Linked DNA regions of Lonchura striata. The protein of the gene in region 3 purifies or fractionates together with the protein of the main gene of each other region. This does not show direct contact. Links are inferred from orthologs where the notes say so. Each region holds a gene or a part of one and is shown on either strand. Other genes may lie near its edges. The genes, in order: CCDC6, AAK1, RALBP1 and REPS2.

What was found.
Region 1: the proteins of RALBP1 (region 3) and CCDC6 purify together in Homo sapiens (affinity purification with mass spectrometry; 3 studies listed by BioGRID and IntAct, counting the BioPlex papers as one, with this or other methods). This does not show direct contact. The link is inferred for Lonchura striata from reciprocal best matches to the Homo sapiens genes RALBP1 and CCDC6.
Region 2: the proteins of RALBP1 (region 3) and AAK1 purify together in Homo sapiens (affinity purification with mass spectrometry; 3 studies listed by BioGRID and IntAct, counting the BioPlex papers as one, with this or other methods). This does not show direct contact. The link is inferred for Lonchura striata from reciprocal best matches to the Homo sapiens genes RALBP1 and AAK1.
Region 4: the proteins of RALBP1 (region 3) and REPS2 purify together in Homo sapiens (affinity purification with mass spectrometry; 3 studies listed by BioGRID and IntAct, counting the BioPlex papers as one, with this or other methods). This does not show direct contact. The link is inferred for Lonchura striata from reciprocal best matches to the Homo sapiens genes RALBP1 and REPS2.

Annotation. Positions count from the first base shown.
Region 1 is NC_134609.1:4,139,343-4,146,352, reverse strand, and holds the start of CCDC6 (coiled-coil domain-containing protein 6), read right to left. Parts: upstream 3,010-7,010; coding exon 2,701-3,009; intron 1-2,700.
Region 2 is NC_134634.1:248,342-255,247, forward strand, and holds the start of AAK1 (AP2-associated protein kinase 1), read right to left. Parts: upstream 3,020-6,906; 5' UTR 3,005-3,019; coding exon 2,842-3,004; intron 1-2,841.
Region 3 is NC_134603.1:51,665,935-51,673,909, forward strand, and holds the start of RALBP1 (ralA-binding protein 1), read left to right. Parts: upstream 1-4,962; 5' UTR 4,963-5,050; intron 5,051-6,819; exon of another isoform or gene 6,820-7,096; intron 7,097-7,975. UniProt on the Homo sapiens protein: Multifunctional protein that functions as a downstream effector of RALA and RALB. As a GTPase-activating protein/GAP can inactivate CDC42 and RAC1 by stimulating their GTPase activity.
Region 4 is NC_134604.1:100,730,501-100,737,924, reverse strand, and holds the start of REPS2 (ralBP1-associated Eps domain-containing protein 2), read right to left. Parts: upstream 3,021-7,424; 5' UTR 2,983-3,020; coding exon 2,785-2,982; intron 2,632-2,784; exon of another isoform or gene 2,624-2,631; coding exon of another isoform or gene 2,489-2,623; intron 2,482-2,488; exon of another isoform or gene 2,105-2,481; intron 1,640-2,104; exon of another isoform or gene 1-1,639. UniProt on the Homo sapiens protein: Involved in ligand-dependent receptor mediated endocytosis of the EGF and insulin receptors as part of the Ral signaling pathway. By controlling growth factor receptors endocytosis may regulate cell survival.

The DNA.
Region 1 (7,010 bases), on a different chromosome or scaffold from region 3:
TTTCACAGTCTTGCACATGAACAGCAGCATAACTTCATTTGCATTTCAGGCTACTGGAAGGAGTACAGCTCACACATATTTTTGGGCGTACGCTTAGTCCAAGCTGGCTTCACCAATTTCAGCTTGAAAGCAGCATTTGTTTTCACTTGTTTTAGATGAGAATACACATGAAGTTAGTGAGCATACTAAACCTGCCAAGCCAACACCTTTTCTCAGTTTTCCAAGTGCAACTACTTAATGTGGGTCTCCTATGCTTAATTAACACTTTATTTTCAACCCTTGTAGCCACAAGGGTGAACTACAAATAGAACTAATAAGATCCTATATGGCAAGCAATTTAGGTAATTCCTAAACTGACGCTGACACCAACAATACTGCAAGCATAAAGAGATGTCATATTAACACTTACACCACCATGGACACAAGAGGTAGGAGGAAGACCATCACTCGCAAACTTTAAAGGGAAAATTTTCAGAACCAATAAAGACAATGGTGGGAGCTGCAGAAAGCCAAGAGTCTCTGTGACCTTGCACACAAAAAGCTAAAACAGAATCAGTGAAAGGTTTGGAGGTGAAGAGCTGTGTGGTTCGAGGAGTCACCTTCACCTACAGCACACAGGTTTAGTCATTCACCTGCTATTTTGCTATTTTGGCTACCTGTCAGGTCCACTTGTGCTTCACAGCTCGTCCTCAACACTTGATAAAAATCAAAGCTGATTTGTGTCATTACAATGCCCACAACAGGAAACATACAATGAGCCCGTCTGTCAGCGCAGCAACACTTCGAGGAGCTGGAGGAGCAAACTGACAAAGGTTTAGAATCACAGTGGAGACAATCAGAAAATTTTCTATTCCTGTGACGTTTACATGTGAATGACACACATTTCAACATTCCAATAAAGTTCATTTGCAGTCACCTGCATACTAGAGCCACACAACAAAGTATTCTGACTTCACATGTATTTACATTGTTGACTATGTAAACCACAGCACAAGGTCTCACTGGCCTGAAAAAAAAGTGTTGTTTTGCATTCGTTTTTTCACCGCTTGCTGAATTAGAAGTGGTTTACTCAGTCGTGCACACAGTTTAGCATACCAAAGCCACAGCATCAGCTAAAGACGGTCGTTTTTCCAGACAGCCTACAGGTTGCCATTAAAGTCTAACACCTCTCCTTCTCTTTATCCAAGATGTTAAAAGCAGGCAGAGTTTCAGATTTAAGGAAAATATCTCCTTTTTATAAATAAAAATCTGATAAAAAGGTAAAATGATCAGTCCCTAGAGACATTGCCAGAACTGTAATGCACACAAGCATTTTTTCCAAGTTGTTTACAAACAATACATCTACCAGAGGTTCAGAAAGATGCTGTGCCTTTCCAACAGGCAGAGAGAAAATGTCTGACTGACAAGGCGCCTTAGACCCTTTCAACATTAGAAGGCACTCCGCCGCTACCTAATTAAGGCACATTCTCTTCTCGTAAAGTATTAACAAAGCACACATTTCCCCGACTAGCACTATATTTGTCATCCTTGAATAAATTACTTCTGTATTGTATTTCATGCACTCTTCCGGCCCACATCCTGCTAGACGCTGAATGCTTACTACTAGGAGCAGATGAGAGGTATGCCTAGGCAAGCTCCATTTCTTGGCTAGATGTATTGACAATGGGAAAGCTGAGTATCAATAAAACAGACATTATGCTCGCAGCGAAGTACTCCCTGTGAAAAATTAGATGAGATGAGAGTGTGCACACACAGGAGGGACTAGTCTCTCCTAAAACATCTCCACCTGCACTGGCAGGGACGGTCGGGACAGTATCAGTTACCTTTAACAGGTCTTTAGCAAGTTACCTACTCTACCATGACCATTACAATACCTAAACAATGCCTTTAGTCGCTGGATTAGCAAAAATCCCTCGAATTTAAACTCTTAACTCCCAAGCTCATAGAGAAGAACAGAACAATATTTTTGTAGTATTATGATACACACTTTTCTGAGGATTCCTGCCTAACAGCATCATATAAAATGGTGTTAAACTCCAAGTTATCCTCACAGTGGTCATAAACCAGGAGCTGAGCTCTTGCCGGGACAGAGTGCTGCTCTACTCGCATTATTTTTAAGAGACTTATTTAAATGAGTTTTCAAATAACTTGAAATACCACAGCTAAAACAAAATACTACAAACACAGACACTTCCTCATGACCAAGACGCTATTCCTGCAGCTCTGCACAGTGGCTGAAGAGATAATCCGTAATCTCCGCAGATTACTGAAACTCCAAGGAAACCTCTTACTTCGAGAAACTTCAGGGGAGCACAGAGCATCGGCCCTCCCGTGCCCGCCCCTCCCCGAGCGCCGCCGCTCGGACACCGCGCAGGGCGGGCGGCGGGGCCGCCTCCCCGCGGGGCGCCGGGCGGCCACGCGGGTCCGGCCGGGGGAAGCGCCCGGTGCTCGCCGGTTCCGCCGCCTCCCGGAGCCGGAGGGGGCGCGAAGGGCGCGGGGTGACCCCACCTGTGCGCGTCCCCCGGCCGGGCCGCGCTGACAGCCGGGCCCGCCCGCGGGGATGGTCGCGGCGGCCCGGGAGGCGGCCGGGGGCGGCGGGGAGGCCGCGGCCGGGGCCGGGCCCGCCCTGCGCGGACACCCCGCGGCGGGGACACCCCCGCTCCCCGCCGCCGGGCCCGGCGCGGCGCCGCCCGCACTCACGATGGTGACGCTGGCCTTGCGCAGGTCGCGGTTCTCCTCCTGCAGCGCCTTGCACTTGAGCTTGTAGGTCTCCAGCTCGATCTTCAGCACCTTGTTCTCCTGCTGCAGCGAGGCCAGGCGGTTCGTCAGCTCCTCCAGCCGGAACGGCGAGATCACGATCCCGCCCGCCTTGCCGCCCCCCGAGGAGCCGCCGCCGCCCGCCGTGCCGCAGCCGGGCCCCGCGCCCGGGCCGCCCCCCGACAGCGGCCCCGCGGAGCCGCCGCTGCCGCCGCCGCCGTCCGTGTCGCTCTCGCTGGCGCTGTCCGCCATCGCCCCGCGCGCGCCGCCGCCGCCGCCGCCCGAGCAGGGGGCGGCGCCCGCCGCGCGCCGGCGCCGAGACGGGCCGCGCGCCCGCCCACAGCGCCGCCTGGCGGCCCGCGCCGGCACCGCGCCAGCCGGGACGCGCCGGGACACACCGGGACGGGCCGGGAGCGGGGAGCCAGGACACTCCGAGCCCGGGACCGGGATGTGCCAGGAGAGGGGATCTCGGATACACAGAACTCGGGACCGAGGGATATTCCCCGGGGCGCTCCCTACACACCGAATCCTGGGCCCGGGATGTGCCCGGAGGGTCTGTTCCACACCCAACCCGATGTCGGGATGTGCCCGGCCGGGACGTGGCCGGGGGAATCCGTTGCACAGCGGGACCCCCGCGGGAAGCAGCGGGACTCATCTCATTGCATCGCTAAACCCGTGCCGGGGAGCCCGGGGGTTCGCCGCACACGACCCAAACGGCCCCGAACCTTGTTTTGTTTAAGAATTTTTGTACCAAAACGGCGCCCACGGCACTGCCCGGGCTGTGTCCCCGGCCCAGGCCCCTTGCCCGGGGCAGCTCGCAGCCCCTCGGGGCTGGACACCAGCAGCAGAAGGAGCGGGACCCCACCCGCCGAGCCCCCGGGTCTGGGGGAGCAGCCCCGGGGTCGGAGTCGGAGGGAACAGCCCCACCACCAGCCCTGCTCCCCACCCAGCACACAGACCAACCAACTGGCATGTTAATTCAACCCTCCATACATCAGCAAAACTGCCTTACGATATATGGACATTCATCTCTCATTACTGATAATGTATTTGTTGATTAGTAGGTGCATTAGTTTCCTTTTCTTTTCTTTTCTTCCTTTTTTACTATTTCTTTGCAGAGCAGCAGCGAACTATAGTGGAGAATTTGTGCCACTCATTCTATGGAAAAACATGGTCTGAATTGCTCCTGGATAAATTAGTCCCAAGACTGTATAATTGGTTTCTCAATTATTTATGAAGGAGTCTTTAATAACAGTACTTCTTCCATTAGTGGCAAGCAAGGATTTCATTATCTCTAACTGCACTACCTTTTTGTTTCATGCCATAGTAAATTTCAAATTTTACTCTTTTTAATGGTTATAATATATGAAGGAATTCCATCTCTGTAAAGTAATTATTCTTTTCACCTGCCTGGGAATATAAGTGCAGGTCATTTTATTTTTGGTCTCTTAATCACAAGAAAAGGGGTGCTCCTCGTTCTGAGCCTTGGAAACTGCAGTTTCCTCTGATCTCCATCTGTGTGTCCCTAGCACACAATGCTGCCCCAAACAAGGCTCAGAATGGAGAGGGAGGAAAGTGGGGATCCCCATCCAGCACCAGCAGAGACCCACAGCTCTTCCTTAGCCCATCAGGAGGCATCAGTTCAGGGCTTTTCAGGCAAGAAAAAAAGGTCCTGCATCCCAGGACATTAAAGCCACCAAGCAAACCTCATGACCACCCTGGCAGCTGCTGCCCCTCAGCTGCATTTCCCATCTCTGGGCTTAATTAGGGTGGAATTTCTCCCAAAACATAAGAGCATTGTCCTCAAGAGATGCTGCCATAGATGCACAGAGTAGTTGATGATGTCCATGAGGTCTCATGAGACCTTTTTCAGTGCTGTCCTAAAGTGCCCCTGCAGCAGACCCTGGCTCTGCAGGGAAAAACAAGGCACCTGGGGTGGCTGCCAGCTCCTCTACCCTGCAACCGTGCCCAGGCTGAGCCTTGCCACCAGCATGGGCTCGGGGATAAAAACCTTGAGGGATTAAAATAGGATTCAGAATATAGTGAATGCTGGTTTGCATAGGTAGTTGCATTTCACCAGAATTTCTTTCAAATAGGTGTGCTGGTATTTGGGAAGCTGGCTGGACACCCCTGGGTCATGAGGAAATGTTATTTCATGCACAGCCTCCGCAGCACAGGCGATAGCTGGAAAGCTGGTTTGTCTCTGCGCGCATGCACACGTGCTCCTGGAATCAAACAAAGTTCTGAACTAGCAGGTTTATACCTCAATATTCTATCTTCCATCCGTCTGCCCAGCTTTGATCAGCCAGTACTGCCCACATTTGAGTGTCTTGCTGAATCAAGGCCTAAATATTTTGAAAGCCTGAATCAGCAAAACACGCATCTGCTCCAGGCTAATCTTACCCAGCAAGCCCCACGGCGTGCTTAACCTTAAGCCACTCTTCAGACCTATCAATGTTAATCTTAAGTGCTTTGCTGATTTGGAGCACTATAATTTTTCAGAGGACGTGTCCTCTGCTCCTTCAGACACTAAAATTAGCCTGAAAACAGACAGGGAGGTGCAGGCAACCTCCTCAACCCAGCAGCCGGGCCGCATTGGCTCAGCCAGGGGCTGCATCCCTGGGCTCACAGCAGGCAGCTGCTGGTGCTGCCTTCAGCAGAGCAGCTCTGGGGTGGTGCAGACAGCAGCTGTGGAGATGAGGGATCTTGAGGCAAGAAGGGAGCTTTTCCCTGCCTGCTTTCGCTGTCCCTCTGTCCCTGCCGGGCTGGCATCAGAGGTCTCACTCCCAGCCAGCAAGCTGACTTTCATAACAGTGAATTATAACTTGGCACTTCTGTGTCTGTCTCTAGTTCAAAGCTATGCTGAAACATTATCTAATTAATTCGCACAATAGCCCTGGAAGGCAAGAAAGGGAGGTAGGAAGCTGAGTTACTTGCCCAATGACAAACACTGAGTCAGTGGGGGAGTGGGAGGAAGACTCAAGGGTTCTGGATGTTTAGATCTGACACGGCATCCTTCTTGTTGCAACAGCAGTTCAGTAATTTAAAAAACAGTACCTCTATATTTAATTACAATTACAACCAACTACTCCTAATTAATAGATTAAACAGGGAGAGAAAATGTTACCCGAATTAGCACCCCCAAAAAATTAAAAATCACATGCTTTTTACACCTGTAGGATGTTAACCAAATCAATTAAAAAGGTATAAATATGTGGTATAAGCAAAATTAGCAAAACCTCGTTGTGAAGACACTTAAAGAAGAAGCTGCCCCACTGACAGGGCTGCTCAAGTGCCACTGGTCCTGGTCCCCACTGCAGGCAGCAAGGGGCTTGGCATCACAGGAAAAGCCACCACAACCACCCTGCCACCACCACAGCACCTGCAGGACGAGGTCCCCACCCTCCTTTGCCTCAGTATCTCCTTATTGCATGAAAAATAAATGCAGAACTGTAAGGGGGAAAGGTGTTTGTAGAAATAAAGACTATGAAAATGTCACCAGCACCCTTATAGTAGAAGAGCAGACCAATCAAGAAGAAGAAACAGGGATTTATTCACAGAAACTATCATTACAGGAGGTAATGGGCAATTAGAAACAGTGTTCCATAAACTCACATCAACAGTAAAAATATTGTATAAAGTACATTTCTAGGTGTGAGGGGTTAGAAGAGGTATGTTCAGAGATTCAATGCAATCCTTTATGTAATTCCAGAGGTCCATTAATCAGCTGGAAGACCTTTTGTAAGAATACAATTTCATTAAAATATTCAATAGTTATAGACTGAAGAGGAAAAGGCCAACTGAAGCTAATTAACCTAAGGAAAAAAAGTCTGCATAGTACTCAGAGTACCTGACTGAAATGGGGGTGCAGGGGAGAAGAGGGAATGGAAAGAAACAGTTGCAGGAAAATGCAATTAATGAAAAATACTGCTAGGAAAACAAACTGATGCAGCATTGAAAAGAACATGACTTGTACATAAGGGGATATTAAAAGGGGGAAATGGAGTGCATATGTGGAGAGGTTGTAGAAGGGGACAAAGTTTGGTTTGAAAGGTATTTGTATGAGCAAAAGAAACCCAAATCGCTACTATTGTGGATTAAGGCATATATTGATGCAAGTTAAAGCATGTTTTCTAACAAGCAATTCAGAAAATAATGTCATGCTGCTTTGCTTTTCTTGACCAGCAATTATTTAATCAGAAAGCTGTATTAGGAAAAAAGTCTCTTAGTAGGATAGAGTATCTGACTATGAA
Region 2 (6,906 bases), on a different chromosome or scaffold from region 3:
AGAGCTCCTGGGGATTGCATTCAGCTCTGTGAAACACCACTCACCCCAAAACCAGCCACAATGCCCCTAAACCCATACTGGGGCACTGTGTGACTTCAAATCTGACCCTGCAGACCCCCAGGACCAACAGCACTGCCCTCCCACCACAGATAATCCTTCTGCAAACTCTGAGGGGAATTTTTCAAGAGCTTATTTGTGCTATTATATAGATTAGAGCAGGAGAGTTACAAAGACCCAACTAGGTACAACCTATTGCAACACACTGTAAAAAACCCACTGATTCACCGTATCCTGACGCCACAACCAACCCCTCAAATTCCTTCTACATTATTCCCATCTACTTCCTTCTAAAAAGGAAAGGATGTTCCTCCCTGCCAAGGCAGGCAAGCATCCAGACAGAACTATTTTTAGGGGTGAGGGGTGCTCCTAACCAGAACAGGTAATTTGGGAGATCCACACAAGAGCCCAGAGGTATTTGGAGCCATTTGCCACTTGGCACAGGCAGTGCTGCAGCCAGGGCACACTCCTCACCAGCAGGGTTGCTCAGCAGAATTCAGGGTGACCAGGCACAGCTCTGAGAGCAAATCACAATGTTTCAATTCCAAAACTTCTGGTTCAACTCAAGTCTCCTCCGCACCATTCATCACTGCATCAGTTCTCTCTTTAAGCCACTTTTACATCTCTTTTTTTTTTTCATGTTTCACAGGCTGCACCTAAACACAGGCCTCCCCCCTCCCTCCTAAAGCAACGGGGATGACAGGTCCTTCCTTCCCAGACAGGATACTCCTCCTACAAAGTGCTTCCCAGGGGACTTTTCCTTTTAGCAGAAATAGCCAGGAGTTGCCTCTTCAGCACTGCTGGAACCACTGCAGATACAGAGAGGTTTTCCAGCCGAGGTTTCAGACGTCAGGAGCGTGGGGACCGGGCTGCCCACGAGCTCCCCAGGTCTCCAGCTGAGTCAGGGTTTAGAAAAGGCTGTTTACCAGCACACTCAGCCACACTCAGGCATGCAGAGCTGCAGCACTCCTGACCCACGCTGCTCCCCAGCTGGCCCAACTTTCCTACAGAGGAAATGGCATTGTCACTGTTCCCAACAAAAGGTGACGAGCTGCAAACCGACACACCGCCTTGCTCGTGTCCCCTCTGCACACAGAAGGATTTCACACCGCCCACAGCAAAGTCTCGCTGGGAGGGAGATACCTGGGCAGCACCTTTCACCAGAACTCCCTCTGCCTCACAGAACAAACACAGCCCCTGCTTCACAGGTGTGCTAGCCTGCTGTGAGCAGCCCAGAGCTGCAGGCCGTGCTCCATCCCACAGCCAGCCCAGGAAGCAGGAGATGCAGGGAAAAGCCCCCACAAGCAGCAGCTCCCCCCAGGACAGGGAGGCAGAGAAGGGAGGCTCTTCTCTCAGGCAATTCGTGCTCCCACCTCCACCTCTGCTGCAGCAGGAGAGCCCGGTGACACACGGCTTCGCTTCCCGGGGCAGAACCTGCCAGCACATTACTCATCAGCAAAAAAAGCCTCTGCCTTCCCATGTTACCAGGATGAGGCCATCCTGCATTAAAAAGAGACTGACAGCTTCTCAAGTTTAGCTCATGTAGATCCTAAGCTTCCAGGGCCAAAAGGGCCTCGCAAGTATCAGTCCAGGCAAACCTGTATTGCAAATTTCAAAGGAAAAAAAATCACTATAGCTGCTAGGTAAAAGCCTGGTTTTGGTTCTCCTCTCAGCAGAACACATCAGAAACCAAGTCTAAAAAAACAGCCACAGACCTATTTTCTTGTACACCGCGGTGAATTCTTACAAATCTGAACACAGGCAGCGTACACAGAGTCCCTTTTCCATTTTAGGGCTCTTTCTGTAAAAGCCAACACAGGTCCTCCCACTCAGCTCTCTCCCAGCAGCTCTCCTCTCCTTCGCCATCAAAACAAAACACTGTTTGGACTAAATCTGCCCAGGATGCTGTGCAGGAGGCACCAGGAGCAGGTCTGAAGAGGCCAACATCTCTCTGAAGGTCGAGGCTAAGGTTACCAGGCAGAGCCATGCAGGAGGTTCCTTACAGCCCCAACAAATGAAATGTAAAATGATAGTTCAAGCAGCAGGGCTGGTTACAATTAAACAAATGCCACCAGCAGCTTGCTGCACTGCAAGGCCTGCACACATCATGAGTTCCATAACCCCTAGGATTCATTTTTAGGTGTCTGTTTTATTTGGGGAAAACAAAATAAATAAATAAAATTATAAAAAAAAAAAAAAAAAAAAAAAAAGGCAATTGGGATCACCACTTCCCCTTGCAGACATCCCACACACAGAGAAATCCCTCATCCCAGGTCACAGCCAGCCTATGTACATAACATAGCTACAAGGAATTTACTCCAGTGTTTTAATCCTCTCAGCTTGAGATAGGAAAGGAGGTAACAGCTGAAGAAAGTTTAAGAGTGAAGGACACCACTTTTTTTATTTACAGCACCTTGTTCTGCACCAAAATATTTGACAATTTTGGTTTGGGTGTTTGTTTATTTTGTTTTTTTTAACTCCCAGTTTAGAAGAAGTGAGAAACAACTTCTAACAACATTCCTCCAATTTCTGAAGCATTAAAAAAAAAAAAACAAAAACAAAAACAAAAAAAAAACCAAATCCAGGAAACCCACACTGGACTTACAGATGGGAAGATCAGACACGTCAGCTTACAGACACCACTGGACTGCAATTCTGCCAAGGACGGTGAAATACTCAGGAATCCGGGGGTCAGGGAGGAGGCTGGGTGCCCGGGACAGCTCGAGGCCTCCCTTTCAGCTCGGGGAGGCAAAAGCAGCGCTCAGAACGGCACCGGGACCTTACCTTCCGCCAGCACCTCGTCCACCGTGACCTGGTGCCGGCCGATGCTGAAGACCCGGCCGATGTAGCCGCTGCCCGGGCCGCTGCTGCCGCCGCCGCCGCCGCTGGTGCCCGAGCCGGGCCCGGAGCCGCCCTGCTCCCGGCGCGAGTCGAAGAACTTCTTCATGTCTCAGGAGGCGGCGGCCGCCGCGACGCCGGTGTCGGTGCCGACCCCTCCTGGCTCTGCCGCGGCCGCTGAGCGGGGCCCGGGGCCGCTGGCCCGGCGGGGCCGAGCCGCGCTGTCCCGCGGGGACTCACACCTGCGGAAGCAGCGGGGATAACGGGCTGGCGAGTCACCGCCGCGGGCCGCTCCGCGAGCCCCGACCGCGCGACCCTGCCCGGTACCTCGCAGAGCGCGGCGGGTGCCTCCATGCGCCCCGCGGGGCCGGCCTGCGCAGCCCCACCGGCTCACGGCGGGGGCCGGCTGCCGGCAGCGCCCGGGGCCCGCATCGCTGCCTGGCGGCGTCACCGGCGACCACCGAGCCCGTCAGGGACACGGACAGGGACCGACCCCGCCGCCGCCGCCCCCCGCCGGCCCCATCCGACCAGGAAATGGGCCGTCACAGGAAGTGCCGGCTGCCGCCGGGAGCACCGCCCCCGCGCCTCCGCCAGCTGCGGGGCCCGGCCCCGCCGCCCCGGGCCGTCCCGTCCCGTCCCGTTGCGTTCCTCCCTGTCCCGGGATATCGCGTCCACAGCGTCCCGTCCCGCGGGCCTCGGAGCGCCCCCCGCCCCACGGTGCGGCGGGCGGGGGAGCGGGGGCCCGGCGGGCTGGCGGCGCCGCGCGCGGCATGCTGGGGGCGGTAGTTCGCCGTGCCAGGCGGAGGGGGGGCCCTGGGGGCGGCGGGGACTACAAGTCCCGGCATGCCGCGCGGCGGGGCCGTGAGGGGCTGTGGCGGAGCGGCCGGGCCGCGGTCGCTCCTCAGACCGGCCGGGGCCGTGAGGGGCTGTGGCGGAGCGGCCGGGCCGGGGTCGTTCCTCAGACCGGCCGGGGCCGTGAGGGGCTGTGGCGGAGCGGCCGGGCTGGGGTCGTTCCTCAGACCGGCCGGGGCTGTGAGGGGCTGTGGCGGAGCGGCCGGGCCGGGGTCGCCCCTCAGACCGGCCGGGGCCGTGAGGGGCTGTGGCGGAGCGGCCGGGCCGCGGTCGCCCCTCAGACCGGTCGGTACCGGAGGCCCCCACAGGAACAGCGGACGGGGCCCGGGGGCTCTGCGTCCTCCTCGCCGCGAGGGATGAGTGCAGAAATCCTGTCCGTGAGGAGCCACGGCCCACATTAGGGCTTTGCACGATGACGTGCTCAGTACAGAAGGTTCACGTGCCCTTCGGAATAAATATGAACCGAGTAAAGTCTCAGGTGCTTCGATCCATTATTTTTAATTTTTTTTTAATTTCTCTGACTTGTGAAAATCCCCAGGCATCTCTCAAGACTGGTAAAACACCCAGTGCAAAATGTGGGTCCCATCACTGGGGATTTCTGGGGACTCTGCAGAACTGAACAATTTCCAAGGAAATTGGGCATCTCTGTAGAGCACAGGGAAATTACTCATTTCCAGCTAAAGAAGATAAAAGCATGCAGAGAGCTGCAGATGCACTGCCGAGCTTTTTTTAACCGTACCTGCAGTGCAGTGCAGGCAGTGTCAGCCCCACGCACGGCTGTCAGCCCACGGGCACACAAACCCCACCCATGACCGCTCTGGGCAGCAGCAGGCTGCAGACGCTGAGGATGTTCTTTATTCCAGGAGACACAAGGCTCACCGCACTGCTGCAATCCCTGTGACCTTCACGGGGATCAGAGGGAGCTGAGCCTGAAAGCTCCAAGTGGAAAAGCTGATCTGTGGCCACAGCACAGATAGGGCCTGGCGCTCCTCCCGTGTCAGAGTGACTCCAAAGTGCTCCCAGCCTTGTCCTGCTGCAGGCAGGAGCCTCTGACTAATGCACTCAGTCCTAAAAAACAAATTTTAAGCTGCTGAAATCCCATGACACAAGGTTTAAAATATCCGAGTGTGGTCAGCAGAGCTGCTTCCCTGCACATTGTCTCCCTGATCCCTGGTTCTCCTGCACCGCTCAGAAAATGCATTCAAATCCCCAGGAAGAAGCACATTAATACAGCTGCATCCCTCTTCATCAACTTTCCAGCCAGCTCAGCATTTTCTAAATAAAAACACAGGCCTGGGCAGGTTTCCTGCGGCCCCGAAAGGCGAGGGCACACTGGCCCCTTCTGGAGAGCTCCGGGAGCAGCAACGACGGAGAGCAGCGCTGGCACAGCTTCCTGTGCTTGCTGCCACTAAACTGGCCAGGGGAAACAGCCGTGGTCACATTTTCCTGACTTCACCGCATAATAATGTAGTCTTAATCACACGGCAGTGTTTATCTTGATGAGGATGTTGGGAGAGCCTTTTTTACACAGTGATAGGGGTAACTGTTTCAAAGTAAGGGAGAGATATTCAGATTAGATACAAGAAAGGAATTGTGCCCTGTGAGGGGGATGAGGCCCTGGCCCAGGGTGCCCAGAGAAGCTGTGGCTGCCCCTGGATCCCTGCAAGTGTCCCAGGCCAGGCTGGACAGGGCTTGGAGCACCCTGGGACAGTGGAAGGTGTCCCTGCTCATGGAGCCTGGAACAAGATGAGCTTTAAGGTCCCTCCCAATGCAATGCATTCCACAATTCTGTCTCTTTAATTATACATTTACTGCAAAAAACTCTGTTAAGCTTCTCACCAGCAAATAAAAGATCCGCTGTTCTATCCATCTCCCTGCCTGTGATTTTCTGGAGTTCCAGGATTTCTTTCCAAGCCCACAGTAGTGGCCCCCAAACACTATTAGCATAATGAGAAAAATCATCACTGATCTTCATCACCTCCAAGAAAACATCAGTTCTCAAGCACAGTGTCATGCAGCTGGGCTTTACTGGGTCCAGAGTTGTGCAGAGGAACAAAAATACTCCAGAAGTCAGATCTGTATTTCACATGCTTAAAAACTTCCACCTCCTTGGTGCTCCTGTTTGTCCCTGCAGGAATCCTCACTGGCTCCAGCAATGGCTCTTGCTTCCTGTGGCTGGAAGCCAATCTTCCATCCACAGAAGTGGCACACCCAGAAATAAAGGAGCTGATTGAGCTCTGCAGGCTCTCGCATGTGGGATGCAGCGGCCTGGATTGACCCTGTGCACAGCCAGGGATGGAGCACTGGGTGGGAAAGAGCTGTGTTTCTCAGGGAGCATGACTGCACCACAGCTCCTCTCTGTCCCTTCAAGCAGCTGCTGTCACCCTAAGGGAAGTTTGCAGGCTAGGTTCTCCCGGAGAAGGGATTTATCAGCTGTGTTTCCAGTGTCAGGATCCTGTTGGGGCTCCTCCTGCCCCAAGCTGCCTCACCTGGGTCTGCCCACACCCTTTGCTCACTTCTGTTTCAGAGCAGGGTCAGGAAAAGTCATCCTGAGCTGGGCAGTCATAGCTCTGTTTCCATCCCCTAGAGCTGGGTTATGGCCAAATTACAGAGCAACTAAGTAAGATTAAACTAGATGGAGGCAGATACTAATTAAGAAGAAAAAAGTGAAAGCTACTCATTTCCTCTTCAGAACTAATGAAAGTAAGCATTCCTTAAGCCCCCTCCCTCTCTGGAGGTTTTTGCTGACTCCTGTTCCCCTTTGGATGGATTCACGGTCACAGGCAGCCAGCGAAGCCATCAGACCACCGATGGCCCCGGACTGTTTTCATTCCCTGCTGTTTATAGCTTTAGTGAATAAAAGAAAACAGCAGACTGGGCCCGTGGCCAAGTGCAGCCTTCAGTTTCTCTGTGGGAGAAAGGCAGAGTGGGTGGGTATCTCTGAGGCAGTGTCAGCACAGCATATGCTGGGGGACAGCAGTGTGGAGAGCCCCCCGCAGCTCTATCAGCCGAGATGCTGCTAGAGCTGTCAGCGTGAGGAGCTGTGAGAGCAGCTGGGATCCCCTCCTGTGTGCCCACCTGCAGAACACGAGCATCCCCACCCTGGGTACCCGGTGATTGAAGCACTCTTGGAAGGGGAATTTGACTCCCGGCTGTCTC
Region 3 (7,975 bases):
GGACACCTGGCTCCCAAGCCTCTCATCCTGCTGGCTGGAGTGACTTGAAGTTTGCTGGCATTGCACAGTGACACAGAGACCCACACAACATGGCTACACTCCAGTCTCCAGCCCCATGACCCATGGTGCCCTGACCTACAGCTGGCACTTACACCTTCATGGGAAAAGCCTGGAGACTCGTAGCCTGGGAGGAGCTGAATGAGAAGAGAGGACAGACTGTACTGATGGGGTACCTGCAGAGCACAGCCAAACAACAACCTTACATTTTCCTGTTGGATGGTAATGTCAGTTGGGCTTGGCAAAAGGAACACCTTTACCAAGGTTTGATACATTGCCTTGGCACGACATCTTTCACCAAATCACCAGTACATCATTAAAATGTGTGCTACTCACATGGGAAAACACACTTGGATACAAAATCTTCTTAGAAACAGAGCAAACCCTGATTCAGAAAAGTAAATCTAAGATGTAAAGGTGGCCGAGGCTCAAGTTTTCTTATACCCTTTTCATTGCTTAAGTATTGTCCTAGGATGATGTTATGGTGTTTGTATCTCCAATGTGTGTTCTGTTTATGTTTGATATTATGTTCTGTGCTTTCAGAACTGACTCTGAAAGTGAAGGTTTGTTTTGCCTTGTTATCAGCCGGTTCACCTCCCCCCATGGTCTGCTGTCTAGAAGAGGCTAGTGCGGGCTGGCTTGCTTTTGTTTGCTTGCTTGGCTTGCTTGCTTTGCTTGCTTCTGCTTTTGCCTTTGCTTCCTAGTTAGTTTAGCCAAGCAGTCCAATTCTTTCCCTGGACTCTTTCCTTTCCTTTTCCTGAATACCATCCAACCTGCTCCGGACTGGGACCTGGGAAACGCCAAGGAACACCGAGAGCCTGTGCTTTGTGATCTGCAGCAGACATCCCCAGTGCCAGAGAGCAATCCCCAGCGTCCAGACCCGGGCGACCACTCCCAGGAAAGACTTTCTGGATTTGTTCATCTCTTCAGAGTGGTGAAAGAGTTTTGTTGTCATCTGGTGTGAGAACCCCGGGCTTGGTCAGGGGTCTCGTGTGGTGCTAAAGTCTCTCCTCCAACCCGTGCTTCCAAAGAAAAACTCCGCAGGCTCTTGTTGTTTGGTCCCAAGGCAGTTTATTGTGAGTTATCTAAAATATTGTCTTTGCGGGCTGCGGCTGTTTGATCAGCGGCCCAAGCAGAGACACACACACCCTGACACCCTCACTGTCTGGTGTCTTCTTCTCCCTCCCCGCCCAGGGCTGCTGCTATCTTTTATATGATATATTACATATTATATGTTTACAATTTTTCCCCAATACCTACTACCTATATTACAAAGTGCTTTTCTACTCTAAACCAATTCATAAGTGCCAGCATCACCAAGAACATGGAGGTAAGGAAAAAGAAGGAGGAAGAACAGGATCAGCCCACTTTCCTCCATCTTAGAACTTCTGACCCCCATGTACAAAGTAAAAACCCCCCTGTACAGGTGCTAAAACCCCCCTGTACAATACTAAAAAAATTTCCCCTCTACTTTGTAACTACTTTTACTATACTATCTAACCCTTTGTGACTGCTTGTTCCACCTCCAAAGTTGGTAAATCATTCCATGGATCAAACTCAAAATCACAGCTGTTTTTCAGCTGTCTGCCAGGGTCTAAAATGCTTCTGACCAAGGCCTGGAACCTCCAAAAATGTCTGAGAGACATTTTGAGTTCCAACAATCTGTTGTTAATTTTTTTTTTTTTTTTTTTTTTTTTTTTTTTTTTTTTTTTTTGGTGCTGGGGAGTGCTTTGTTTGTTAAATAAACAGGTTCTTTTCCACTTCTCTCAGAGAAAATTTTTTTTTTCCCGAACCAGGTGGGTGGGGAGGGGCCATGGGGGGTTGTTTTCTGGGGGCTCCTTCCAGAGGGTTTTCCCCAAATTTGCCCTAAACTAAGACAAGTATTTATAAATTTTCTTCCTACCACAGAGAACTTGGAATTACTTGGCTTTGAGCAACCTGTTCTAGGGTTGCCTGGGGCAGAGGGGTTGGAAATAAGTGGTCTTTAAGGGCCCTTCCATCCCAAACCATTCAGTGATTCTGTTGCTCCATAATACTGCTCATAGGAGTTGCTTAGGCAGAGTTCAGGATCATACACCTTTTTGGCTCTGTTCTCCTGCTCTGTGGTAATTTCTATGAACATTTTTTCTCCCCCAAAGGCATGAACTAATTTACTACCTCTAGGTTTTCCTGTTGTATCTTCAGGCTCTCATTGTTTCACTTGTTTGTTTCAGTTTGTGGCCAACTCGTTTCTTTCCTAAGCTAAATATTTTTATGTTTGCTGTGTATTCCTTTATTGCTAAGGAGAATTACACAGCACATCTGAAATTATCCCAGAATGATACAGCCCACATAGACTCCCATCTGTTCAAGACAAACTCAACTCCAGAACTGGCTTTCTTGAAGTAGTAGTAGGAGGAAGGAATTATTTATTAACACAGCTATGCCTTTCCCCTTTTCTTTCCCTGACCAAATGCTTTCTGAAGCTCTCCTCCATTATTATTTTATTACTTTTATGAAGCTCAGGTACATCAGTGAGACTGATTTTCCATGCAGAGAGCTTGCCACCTCAGAATCCTTGCTTCACTTTGTCTTTAAAGCAGTAAGAATTTACTGAGTGAATGTGAGGCAAGCTGAGGGTGTAAGAAAGTGCCTCAGTCTGTGTAAGTTGGTCCCAGACCACAGTGAATTTTGCAAGTCAGAAACCCTCCAAATCTGTTTCACATGGCAGTAAATTGGTATAGCCAGCACTGCATACAATCATTTGTTTGTCCTCAAAATCTGGGAGAAAATTCATTCTGGGCTCATTAGCTGATGAGCCCATTGTGCATGAACTTTTGTTGGCAGTGGCCTCTAATAATACACATTCTTCAGCGCTGAGAGCCTCTGGCCACTGTCACTTCAAGTGGGGATCCTCATGGGCAACCATCTCAAATTACTACGGGATGTTACAGAACTAACCCTTCTCTCTTCTTTTGCCAGGAGTAAGGCGGCCTTTATATACAACAAAAAAAGAAACACATTGGCTGTGATGTTAAGTTAAATAGCCTGGTGAGCCTTTGCTGTTACACTGTTTCTTCTGGAGAGGAGGAGGGAGACTGGAATTTGCGAGGTTATGTAAAAAGTGGTGAAGACAATATCCCTGTGCTCCAACACTAATCGGAGTGTTTACAACCCTCTCTTTTGTAGCTTCCACTGAATAGCACAAATTCCTGTGGGGGACCTTTTACATTACCGCAGGAGGTGGCACAAAGAGCTCATTCGACAGGGACTAAGCAGCACTGAGTCTCAAGTGAATAAATGGAGCAGGTGGCACGCTGCCACGGTATTAATGTGTCCAATAGGCCGGGGATTATGCTCGAGGCTGTGGGAATGAATCGGCCCTGCTTCTGACTGAAACAAATTCCCCTGTTGATGAGCAATCCTGAAAGGGATTCAAATTACGCAGGTGCTCAACGTAACAGAAACTTCCATTGTAAGAGGCAAAAAACCCCCACAAAATTCCTTATAACATCACTGTAAACAGGATGCATCTTGAGATGGGGATGTGTTCCTTGGCACAGGTCACCTCCAGCAGCATCCAGAGCCTTTCCCCATTTCTCTCGCATTCCAGAAAGCAGTAGAGAGAAGTGGGTAACTCCTCTCAGGAGGTCAGATTTGTATGGTGGATGAAGCCGAAGCCTTCATGTGAACGGAGGAAGAGGAATTCTGTCAGCAGTAACATCACATGGAAGGTGGTCCAGGCGCCCCCACCTGCGGGGCTGTGTCAGCTCCCACTGAGACTGATGGCTTGTGGTGTTTGCTGACCTCCCATTCTGACTAGTGTAATCTCACAACTCACTTGGCCATACCCATCTGTAATCACTGCCAAAAGAATCTCAAAATAACATAACGGGTCAGATTGGAAGAGACCACACGGGGTCACCTAGTCCAACCTCTCTGCTCAAGAAGGATCATTCCAGAGCACACAACACAGGACTGCGTCCCCACATGGTGCTTGAATATCTCCAGCAAGGGAGACCCCACAACCTCTCTGGGAAATCTGTTCCAGTGCATGGTCACCTGCACAGTGAAGTTCTTCCACATATCCAAGTGGAACTTCCTGTGAATCAGTTTCTGCCTGTTGCCTCTTAACCTATTGCTTGACACCACTGCAAAGAGCCTGGCTCCATCCTCTTGGCATCCTCCCTCCTTCAAATACTTATATACGTTGAAGAGGTCCCCTCCCAGTTGTCTCTTCCCAAGGCTGAACAGGTCCACCTCCCTCCGTCTTCCCTCATAATAGAGATGCTCCAGTGCCTTAATTATCTTTGCTGCCCTCCACTGGCTCTGCTCCAGGAGCTCCATGTCTCTCTTGTACTGAGGAGCCCAAACCTGGGCACAGCACTGCAGATGCGGCCCCACCAGTGCCGAACAGGGGGCAGGATCAGCTCCCCCGACCTGCTGGCAGCGCTCTTCCCGCTGCAGCCCAGGACATCCCTGGCGTTCGTGACCACAAGGGCCCTGAGCGCATGGCTCAGGGGCGCTTGCGTTCCTTGTGTTCCCAGAGGACTGATGCACCTGCTGGCTGCCGGCTCCCGGCGGCTGCTGAGGGGGCTTCGCACACGTATCCCGCCGGAGTCTCCTCAAGCAGCCGGACCCCGCGGAGCTTCAACAGCGATGCGGGGCAGCGGAGCTGGAACTCCCTCGCAGCGCGCTGGCCGCTGGGAGTTGTAGTGCGGCGGCCAGCAGCAACCTGGAGTGCCCTTGCCGGCAGCGTTCCCAGTGGGAACTACAACTCCCGTCGTGCTCCGCGCGCGGGGAGCCCAGTCCCGCCCGCCCCACCTCCCCGCCCTCGCGGCCGCGCGGAGCGAGGCAGCGGCGCGTGCGCGGTGGCGTGAGCTCGCGCCGCTCCCCGCCCGTCCCTGCGAGCGCCGGGCGGCGGCGGCGGCGGGATGGGGCGCGAGGCGGGGCGTGCCCGCCGCGCGTGAGGCCGAGCCGGAGCCGCTGCGCGGGCGAGCGGGACCCCCCGACGGTCAGTGCGGGGGCGCGGGGGGCGGCCGGCCCGGCCCGACGCGCCGGTGAGGGCCGCGGGGCCGTCCGGGGCCCGGGCGGGCGGGGGCGGAGGGAGGGGGGCGCCTACAACGGGCGGCGCGAGCCGCCACCGCCCCGCGGCTGCCGGTGGGGGAGGGGCCGGCGCGGCCGCTCGGCGGGAGGGGCGGGGCTGCCGGCGGCCACGCCCACCGCCCCGCTGGCGGCGCTCCCCTCCCTGCGCCGCCGCCTCCCCTGCTCCTCCATCGCGCTCCTTCCTTTCCTGGCTGTTTACCTTCCCTTGCTTTCCTCCCTCCGCTCCGCTCCCCGCGCTGTCCCTCCTGCCCTAACGGGGGCAGGCGCCGGGCACCTTGTGCGCCCTGTTTCCGTAGGCGGCTGCTCCCTTTGGATCGTGCGGGGCTCGTTGCAGCTCAGTCTGGGCTGTGGGTTGGCTCTCAGCAAGGTCGTCTTTCGTTGGGTTTTTTTGGGTTTTTTCTTTTTTTTTTTTTTTTTGTGGGGAGGGAGAGGTCAGGGATTTTTATTCTTTTACCTTCGCCTAGAAGTCTTATCTTAAAACCCAGAAAACTTACTGTTATTGTAATTTTTCTGCATCTAGTGTGATTAGCTGGTTCTAAGAATGTCGTGTTTCATACCTGATAATGTTGCTCAGAAAGTGTGTGTTACTGTTCATCATAGAATCACAGAATGGTTTGGAAGGGACCTCAGAGACCATCTAGTTCCAACCCTTCTGCCGTGAGCAGAGACACCTTTCACTAGACCAGGCTGCTCAGAGCCCCATCCCAGATGGCCTTGAACACTTCCAAGGATATGTTAGTGGGTTATATATGAGCAAATACATCTTTTTTTAAGTGCTAACAGATGTTCAAACAGGTGACAAAGAAAATACCAGCAATCCACATTGAACGTATCTGTTCATGACAGTGGTGTGGATTTCCTCCACCCCAGTGTCCCTGAGGTTAATGATAATTGTTGATAGAAAATAGTAATTTTTAAAAAAACAGGCTAAGGCCTTTTTACTTGTTACATAAACCAGGGTGATTTGTGCAAGTCCCTTGTTTCAGCACAGCAAAACAGCCCTAACTGTGCCCTTAAACAGGTTTCTGATCTGGAAACAGGTTGATGTGCTTACCATGAGTGTTCTGCATTGCCATAACCCACCCTGTCAGGAATGATGTTAAGGCTTCATTGGATATGATGCAGAACAGTAATGGATGTAAATTTATTAATCAGCTTACAGGAAAATGGCAGAGGGATCCCTTAGATCCCTTAGATTTGGGTTTTGATTGAGTGTTGTGTACAGCTGGTGGTGAATGGTGCTGTGCTTCAGTTCATTTCAGCGCAGTCTGGGTATAATCCCTACAGTCAGTGTGACAAGCTCTTGGGGGGCACTTTTCCACAGAGAAATAAAGTGGAAATAAAAAAACCAAAACCCTTCCAGACTGTTGTAGTTTTGAGCATTTAGTACTTCTAGGTGTGTGAAATTTATTAACCCTTTTGCTGTAATGTTCTAGCTAACTACAGCAAGAATAGAGTGTCTGTTACGTTGAAGTAGGGAACTTTACATTCCCTGTCCTATGGGTCTTATTTCTAGCTTGGAGAAAATAAATTTTCTTTAGTCTTCCCACATCTGAAATGGAGCATAGGAATAGCTGCCTTAAAATCTTAATACTCCACGCACAACTTCAACATTGTTCTTAGTTAAGGTGTATTCAGGAGTAGGAGGGCATACTTTGTAGTTTGAATTGGTGGGGCTTTTCCCCAAAGTAAGGATTTCCCAGTGAAACCGCTGGTGTGATTGTAGTTATGTGAGAAAGAAAGTTCTTTTTCTGTAGGGCAGATTATTTCCATTTCTATATGGGCATGTCTGCACTGGAGTATGTTGTCCTGGAATTGTAATAACCGTGTTCCTGCTTTGGAGCTGTGTGTCTTGGTTCTGCAGATGTCCTTAAAGCAAAACTGACATGCACAAGCGCTGCATCTAACTCTTTGGGGTTCTCATCTCCACTGTGTCCTTCAGGCACCCTTCCCAGTAAGTTTTAGCTGTATTTTCTTACAGAAAAGGTTTGCATGTTTCCTGAATAAACACTGCTGTTTCTTATGGGCAGGTTTTAGACTGATGTGGAAGATGTTGCTGTTCAGCAATAAATACCACCAAATGCTAATTTATTTTCCTTCTGTAAAGCTTGATGTCATGTGGTTAGCCTCAGAATGCTAAAATATAGTATGATATTTACCTTCAGTTTATAGTGGTATAATGTAGCATAATCTACCAAGCTTATCTCTGAACTAATGTGTTGAATCAGTGAATGATTGGCTACTCTTACAACTAGTCATGGTTTGCTATGTGCATGGTTTGCTATCCTTCGTCAACTCCTGCTGTTCCCCAGTGCCTCATGGATCATAGTTTTCAAATTGCTGCTAAAAAAAAAAAAAAAATATATCAAATGGGCCCATAGTTGGGCTGGAAGCACCTTATGGAGTAGGAAGTTTTAGTTTGGCTGCGTCCGCAGAAGTGGTGGTGTTGAAGGGTGACTGCTGTGCAGATAAGGTTTACATCTTCTGCCTGCCATGGCCAAAACCAGAAGCATAAGGATGCAGGCTGAGTTTAGAGAAAGGACTGGTATGACTCCCTTCCTGTCCATACTTACCCTTCTCATCCCAGCCATCCCTCACCTTTTGGGCATGACATCAGGGAATACAAACTCAGTTGAAGGTGTGGAGGTACAGAAGGGTGAAACAGATTTTGATGGTGGCAGCAAGAGCAAGTCTGCAAAGCTTAATAGCAGCAGGGATCCAGTGCTCCCTGCTTCCAGTTTTTCTTTAGGCTGCAGTAAAAACTGGGGAATGACTGTTTACTTGGGGCAGCTGCTGCGAAGTGGAGGATTTATATGGTATTACCCAAGTAAGG
Region 4 (7,424 bases), on a different chromosome or scaffold from region 3:
CACTTCATTCTTAGCAAGACCCAGGACTCTCGGGTGCACGCCATCTGCTCCGACTGACCCGGCTGCTCTTGGATTTTTTCCATTTATTCCAGCATTTCCTCTTCTGCCACATGCTCTGGCATTCCCTACCTGCTCGATGTTACCTTGCCTATTTCATCCATGTATCTTCTTGGAGTAAGCCAACTAACCTGTAAACCAAACCAAATCCTTGCCTGTTTGCTGTCTGAGTGCGCACACCACTGCTTTTCCCCTAGGAACTGACACCCCAAACAGCACTACTCCATCCAGCATGCACCCACTGAATTTTGTCTTAACAGCAAATACTGCCATTACAGGTGGGGAAATGGAGAAGATTTTCTGTGATGCTTGTGAGCATCATCCTCAAACAGTATAAGGAAAAGCTCCTTCTTTCTCAAAGATTTCTCCCACTTATTACACAAGTACAACTGAAGTCAACAGCACAGGTTTGAGACTGCACAGCACTAAATGTCAGTTCTGGAAGCATCCTGATTTGTAAAACCACTCCTCAATGAATGCCTTGAGAATAAAAAGCTGAAAATTGCCCATTGCTTACAAAACCATCTATAACTGTCTCTTGCCACAGCCCATGCACGGCCAGAGAATGGTGTTAAGTACCCGCTGGACTGTGCCGGCTCTTCTTAGCAGAAATCCAGAATCTGTTTCCAAACCAAATCTCCCCATTTCTGACACGAATAAACTCAGCATGATCATTTCTCAGTTGGTCAGTAGGGATGCTGCCTGTATGCAAAACACTAATAGTGACAGATGGAGATTTTAAAAAGCATTAAAAACCCCCAAAAAGCATTCATACTCAAAAATTATTTCAAAGAAACCATGTTATCCTAACCCAAATGAGCTGTCTTGGCCTAAAATAGGTATTCCCTGTACTAGCAGAAAACATATACCAGGAATCTCTGTGTATTGCTCCCCTAACTGTTAGAATGGTGGGATTTTTTAATGTGAAAATATTAAATTGCATTTTTGGAATATAGTAAGAAAAAACATCAGAAAAATATCTCAAATAACATTGTGGAATTTTCCCTATCAAAACATCCCCATTTGCAATTCATTGTTTTAACTCCTTCCATTAATTGATTTTTCCTGAAGTCTCAGTAAACGTAAGAATACCTGGCAGCTGTGGGTTCTGAGGACAGGCACACTAGCAGTAGAGCAGAATGCCACTGTGATTAGTGCCCTATAAACAAGAGGGGGAGGGAAGGAAGGAAAAAGAGAAACAGACCCAGATCCCACAGGCCTTATTATCTGAATATTCCTGAAGCCAATTACAGGCTTCTCTGCCAGTAATGTTCTCACCACAACATAAATATACCTGGAAATAATCTAAATAGTTTTAAAAATCCCAGAATGTCAAAACCAACAAATAAATGCAAAAACAAACCCCCCAAAACAAAACCAAAGTTAATACCTCACCGCTTCCAGGCTTAAATCACACATTAGTACCAAAATGACCCTGAAAACAAACTGTGATACTAACATAATGATAAATTTCACTTAAATGATAGGGTAAGAAACTACATAGCTAAAATAAGAGGGTTTTTTCTGTACTTCTTGGGGAAAATTAAGTGGCTATTTGGATAAGCCTTTTTATTTGAAATTAAATGTCTTTGCAAAAAGAGGAAAGAGGAAGAACACTCCTAGTGCTGTGTCTATGCAAAATCTCTATTTTCACTACTCCATTCACCTGCAAGACCAAGGTCACAAGTGTGGTTCAATACAAGGTAGTAATACAGTGCTTGGTAAGATTTTTGTTTAACTGATCTGGTAAAAAACACAAATAGGAAGAAAAATATCCTTGGAACACCACAATTTTCATTCAGAATCCCCTGCGCAATACGAATTTCTATAACCCATTAAAAGATCTGCCAGCTATCAGGACAGCAATCAGGTTCACTAGGTACATGACCTTCATTTCAACATAACTTTTTTCTGCTTGATAAATAAAAGCTATTGAAGAACAAAATTCCTGGAAATAAAAGTTAAATTAATAAATAGATAAACAATCAGAAATATCCTATCTCTGTTCAGGAGGTATTAGGCAACTAGAGTGTGTTAGTTAAATTACCACTCTGCAGGTGGAGAAGACCCAAGCCCGGTTCCTCCCTGTCCCTGGAAACTGGCTGGCACAAGCTTTCTCCCACCCCGGACAGGCTTTTCCTCAGAAAGCAGGCGGGCTCCGCCTCTCAGCCCCTGCTGGGGACCACGTCTGGGGCTCTGCTGCTCTCACGGGGAAGGGAGACCCTCGCACTTCGCACCTTGTATTCGCGCTCCTGAACTGACACAAAACACCGCGACATCCTCTTAACCTGCGGACTTTTTACCCACCGAAACAACATTTAGGGAAAAACCCTCAGTGGTTAACCAGGAATTTAGCACATGGCACGTCCTTTCATACAACTGCCTTTATGACTTTCGGGGCCCTTTTGAGAAAGGCGACGGCACTACCGACCTGACGGGGAGAGCCCGAACGGAGCCCGGGGTTGCGCAGCCCGGCACAGCCCGGCACAGGGCGGCCGCTCGGAGCCCTCAGAGCTCTCCAGCGCCGGTCTGCAGGAGGCCAGCGGGCACGGAGCAGCCCCAGCATCGCCGCTGCGGGCGGGACCGGCCCCGCTCCGCTCTGCCCCGCCGCCAACAGGGCTGTGCCTCGTCCCGGCCCCGCGGGCAGCGCCGGACCCTCTCCCGGAGCAGGTCCCGCTCCACGCCCCGCAGCTCCGGGGGAGCCGGACCCGACAGCCCCGGACCCACCTGGTGCAGCGTGTCCGGGGGCAGCTGGGAGGCCCGGAACAGCTCGCCCACGCTGCTCCCCCCGGCGGCCGCCTCCGGGGGCGGGCAGCACCGCGAGAAGAGCTCGGAGTAGCGCTGCTGCTCGGTCTCGCTCAGGGGCAGCAGCAGACCCCCGGTGCCGGCGGCGGGGCCGGACGCCCCCGACGGCCCCTGCTCCATGGCGGGGCGGCGCAGGCACAGCCGCTCGGCCGGGCAGCGGGCGCCGCGCCGCCGGGGAGCGGGGGGACGGCCGGGGGGCCGGGCGGTGGGACGGGAGGTGTGGCGGGGCCCGGGGGCGGTGCCGCGCTGCGGCGGAGAAGGTGCAGTCCCCGCCCGGTGAGCGCCGCGCCGGCTCCGCAGTGCCCCGGCCGCTGCCGCCGGCCCCGCCTCTGCCCTCGCTCGGGCCCGCCGGCCGCCCGCCCGCGCCGCCGAGCCTCCGCTGCGCTGCGGGACGGCGCTCACGGCGCTCGGCAGCACGCGGGCTTCTCCCCGCATCCTAGACTCACGGAACGGCTTGCCTTGGAAGGGACCTTAAAGGACGTCTCGTTCCCACCTCCCTGCCATGGGCTAGACCCGCTAGACCAGGTTGCTCAATTCCCCATCCAGCGTGGCGTTGGGCACTGCCGGGGACGGGGCATCCCGCACCAGTAGCGTTTCAAAGTACCACCTGCTGCTGAACGTGCCACGTGGGCACCACAGAAAAGAAATGGCATCATTCGATACTCTGCAGTGAGTCCTAATCGATTAGCCATGACAGTCTGAGAGAGAAGCATCTCACCGTGTTCTCTTCTCTCTTGTGTTTGCTTTAAGGTGAAGGGCAAAGAGCCCCTTGTTCTTGGAGACAAGATTCCTCTTTATTACTCCTTTGTCAGCAGTGACACTCTAAATGTTCCATTCACAGGTCAAGCAACACCTCAAAAGTCAGGCAGATCACCACCGAGGTGGGAGGGCTGGGGACATCTCAGCCAGGAGGTTGTTTGTGTGTCTCATACTGGTTTTTGCAGCCTTTCTTCCCAGCAGTTCTTTAGGGAAGTTCAAGGAATAAACTGACCACAGATATTTACAGGGTGATCCTTGTAAATATCTGTGAGGAGTCAACAACTCTTCACAGCAGCTTTGGTGCATAGACATGGCCTGGTCTATGGAGAAATAAGACTACCTCTTGTGTATTTCCATCCTGTACCATTAACAATGTCGGGTCAACGTTGTTACTTGTGTTCCTGAATGCAAAACATTGGGGAAGTCAATGTGGTTTAATTTTTATATGCTTCTTTAGTATTAATCCAGAAAAAAAATGAAATAAAAATGTAATAATTTTACATGACATTTTTACTAGAAAATAGTTCAATTTATGGTCTGTAAAGCCAAAAATAAAATTACTATCTCATCACTTCTATTCTTGTTAATCAAACATTGTTACCTCTTTTTAAAACCTTTTTTTAAGCTACTTTATCATCTTCACACCACATATCTGTGCCTCCTTCTCACTTGCACAAAAAATGCAAACTCTTAATTCCTGTAATCCAAAGTGAAGATCTGTTCCTGCCTTCTCAATGTGTGGAACACATTGAATGGTTGTTAGATACAGCTATTAGCAGGTGAATAATTTCTACATGTGTTTAAGGATGGAGTTTTATTGAGAAATCTTTTTTCTTTTAGGGACAGAGATTGTCATGGTATTTTCTCATTTTAAAACATATTGTTATACAGGAGGGCAAGACTATTTCAACATCTGAATCTTGTAGCCCAACTTAAAGTGGCAAATATCTGTAGTAGCTAAAAAAAATTAGGCAAGTCTGCTTGAGAAGGCTCTGCAGAGCAGAGTGAATGACCCTCCGACTGCAAGGTACATCACTTGGAGAGTCCTAAGATGTTAGTGGCCTTTTCCTGTGTCTCCAGCCAGGTACAAGGTACTGCTTTGAGGAAATGGTGCCAGCCATGTGGAGAGGATGTAAGGCCATACCTAATTATTGCCATATTTAACTATATGACCCTCATGATAAAATATCTTCAACCTAGCTTGTGGAAGAACAGCTCGCTTCCACATGAACTTGAACAGGAGAGATGTTACCCTGACAAGCAAAAGAAAACACAGTAAATAGTTTGTGCTCCTTGTGCATTTTTCTGTGCCTGAAAATGCTCATCTGTAACTGACTAGCTCAATACTTATGAAACATCACATCACAAAAACATCACAACACAAAACATCACAACAAATACGCCCTTTGCCAACACTCCAGCAGACACCATTTGATCTTGGTTGATGTGTTAGTCAATTCTTCAAAGTTTTTCTAAGGTAGAACCTGGCAGGAAGATTTTGGAAACACACACCATCCAGAACACAATAGTCTGTTTCACCAGTCACACCTCTTACTGCCAACACAGGCAGCTGCTTTTTTTTTCTCCTTTGGACGTTTTTGTCTTCTTCCTTGACCTTTAAAACTTGCATTCCTCTCTCCATACAGCCCACTCTCATCAGAAGTTACACAGTGGCTGTGTTCACAACCAGTCTACCCCAGCGTTGTTATCTCCAACATGTTGTCTCCAACACATGAAAGAAGTGAACCACCATAAGCCGAGGGGGCAGGCAGGAAATCCATGCCTCTTAAGCTGCCAAGTACGTGTGAGCCGAGAGGTGTACCTGGTGTGAGCTGAGCAGCCCTGCTTGCCTTTGGGGATTACAGGGGGTGCTCAGGTGTCTGTCTGCTCCCTGCAGGTGTTCTGCACTCAGCAATGCCAACCACACCAATTTCCTCTGCTGCACTCACCCCTTATGGGGAGTTTCAACCCACCCCATGTGCCAGCACCACTTTCTGTTCAGTCCAGTGCACCCTGTGCAATGACGCTTATGGCCTTTGTGTGCCATAAAGTTCTTGTGACGGTACATTAGTTCAGACTAAGAGGCACTTAATGATAACAAAAGCCATAGAAATATCATATTCAGCCTTCCTGTTTACATGGAAGCTGTGACATCATTACAGGTTACAAAGCTTCCCTACAACTAAGAAATGCTGCGTATCAGTATCAGAATCCGAACAATTCAAGTGTTTATTTTTTGCTGGAAAAAATAGTCAGTAATGTAAACTGAACTGAAATCTGACTTATCAAACTATGGCTTAGATCTGTGTGTGGTCCTCCTTCCCTCCCCACCCAACTAGTAATGCAATTACTTACTCTGAAGTCAGCCAGCAGCAGTCCTGCAAATAATTGTGTGATCACATGTGGGAGGGAGACAGAGGTCGAAGTAAAAAAAAAAAAAACAACCAAGAACCAAAACAAATACTACTTCCAAAGATGTGCTAATGAAAATAACAGTATATATAATAATATGGAAATAACAGATGATAGGCATATTTTTGTTCAGGATATAAATTAGTATAAATTATCATGTATAATATGACATAAAACCTAACCTCCAGTAAAAAAATTCTCCCGATACATTAGTATTTAGGAGATCCTGGGAGTTTTTATTTGAGCAGTACAACCAAACACTAGTCACTCAGATTCATGTGTTTTTTCACAAGTCTTAGGGTTGAGATCATGTCAGACTTGTCCTGGCCAAAAAGGCATGAGATCTGGCTGACAGCTGCTTTCCATTGACAGTGGAAACACTCCATATATCGCCAAGTAAAGCTTTGGAAATTTATGCAAATGGTTGGCTGGAAAACTGTGATTTAGCTTTTTCCAAACCAGTTCAAGTAAATATCACCCACTGTCCCTCATAACAATTCTTTTTATTTACTTTCTTTACAAATCAAAGAAGACTTTGATGGCAAGCAACTGGTGGGACATGTTTCCTGACTGTGGTATCAGACATGCTTGGAATACACTTGACAAGCCTGATGTTTAGTGTATAGATTCAGCATGCAAATACTCATATTCTTCTTTGCATAGTTGCTTATTAAGAGATCCTATTTCTAAGAAAAACAGGAGAAATGCTTAATTAATTGTACAGTTTGATTCCCTATTTTCCAGCTTGTTAACACCTTTAATGCATGAAGAAGACTAAGAAATAGTAGCTGTTTTCTACTCTGACCAATTCATTGTTTTCAAAAATTAGATAGCAGCATAAATTGCACATTGTGGAAGATGCAATTCCTGGCAGGTTGTTTGTTTTCTGTAAGCAACTGAGTACATAATGGAGAACTAGAGTTTGTGTCACAAAATATATGACAAATATCCACATATTAATTAGTTGGGAGGAGAGGAGGGAAGGAGGGAAAGAGGACCACACACAGATCTAAGCCATACTTTCATAAATCAATTTTCAATCCAGTTTACATAACTGACATTATTTTTTCTAGCAAACAATAAATACTTGAATTGTTTTGATTTACTGGTATGTAAAGTTTCTTGGTTCCAGGAAAGCTTTGTAACTTAAAATGGTATTACAACTAATTGTGTTTAGAAAGTCTTTTTGTAAAGTCCTTTTATGAACATTTATGCATATAGTATGAGCTTTAGTTGCAGAAGATAAAGCCCATGCACACATCTTTGTAAGAGCAAGGACAAAAAGTACAGTGCTTTTCAGGTAACTTTCCAGGAAAGTACATCTTCATTTCCATTGTATTCTATCATGGTGCCTCCAGTTTATTTCTTTTAAAATAATGGCTTCATGTGAA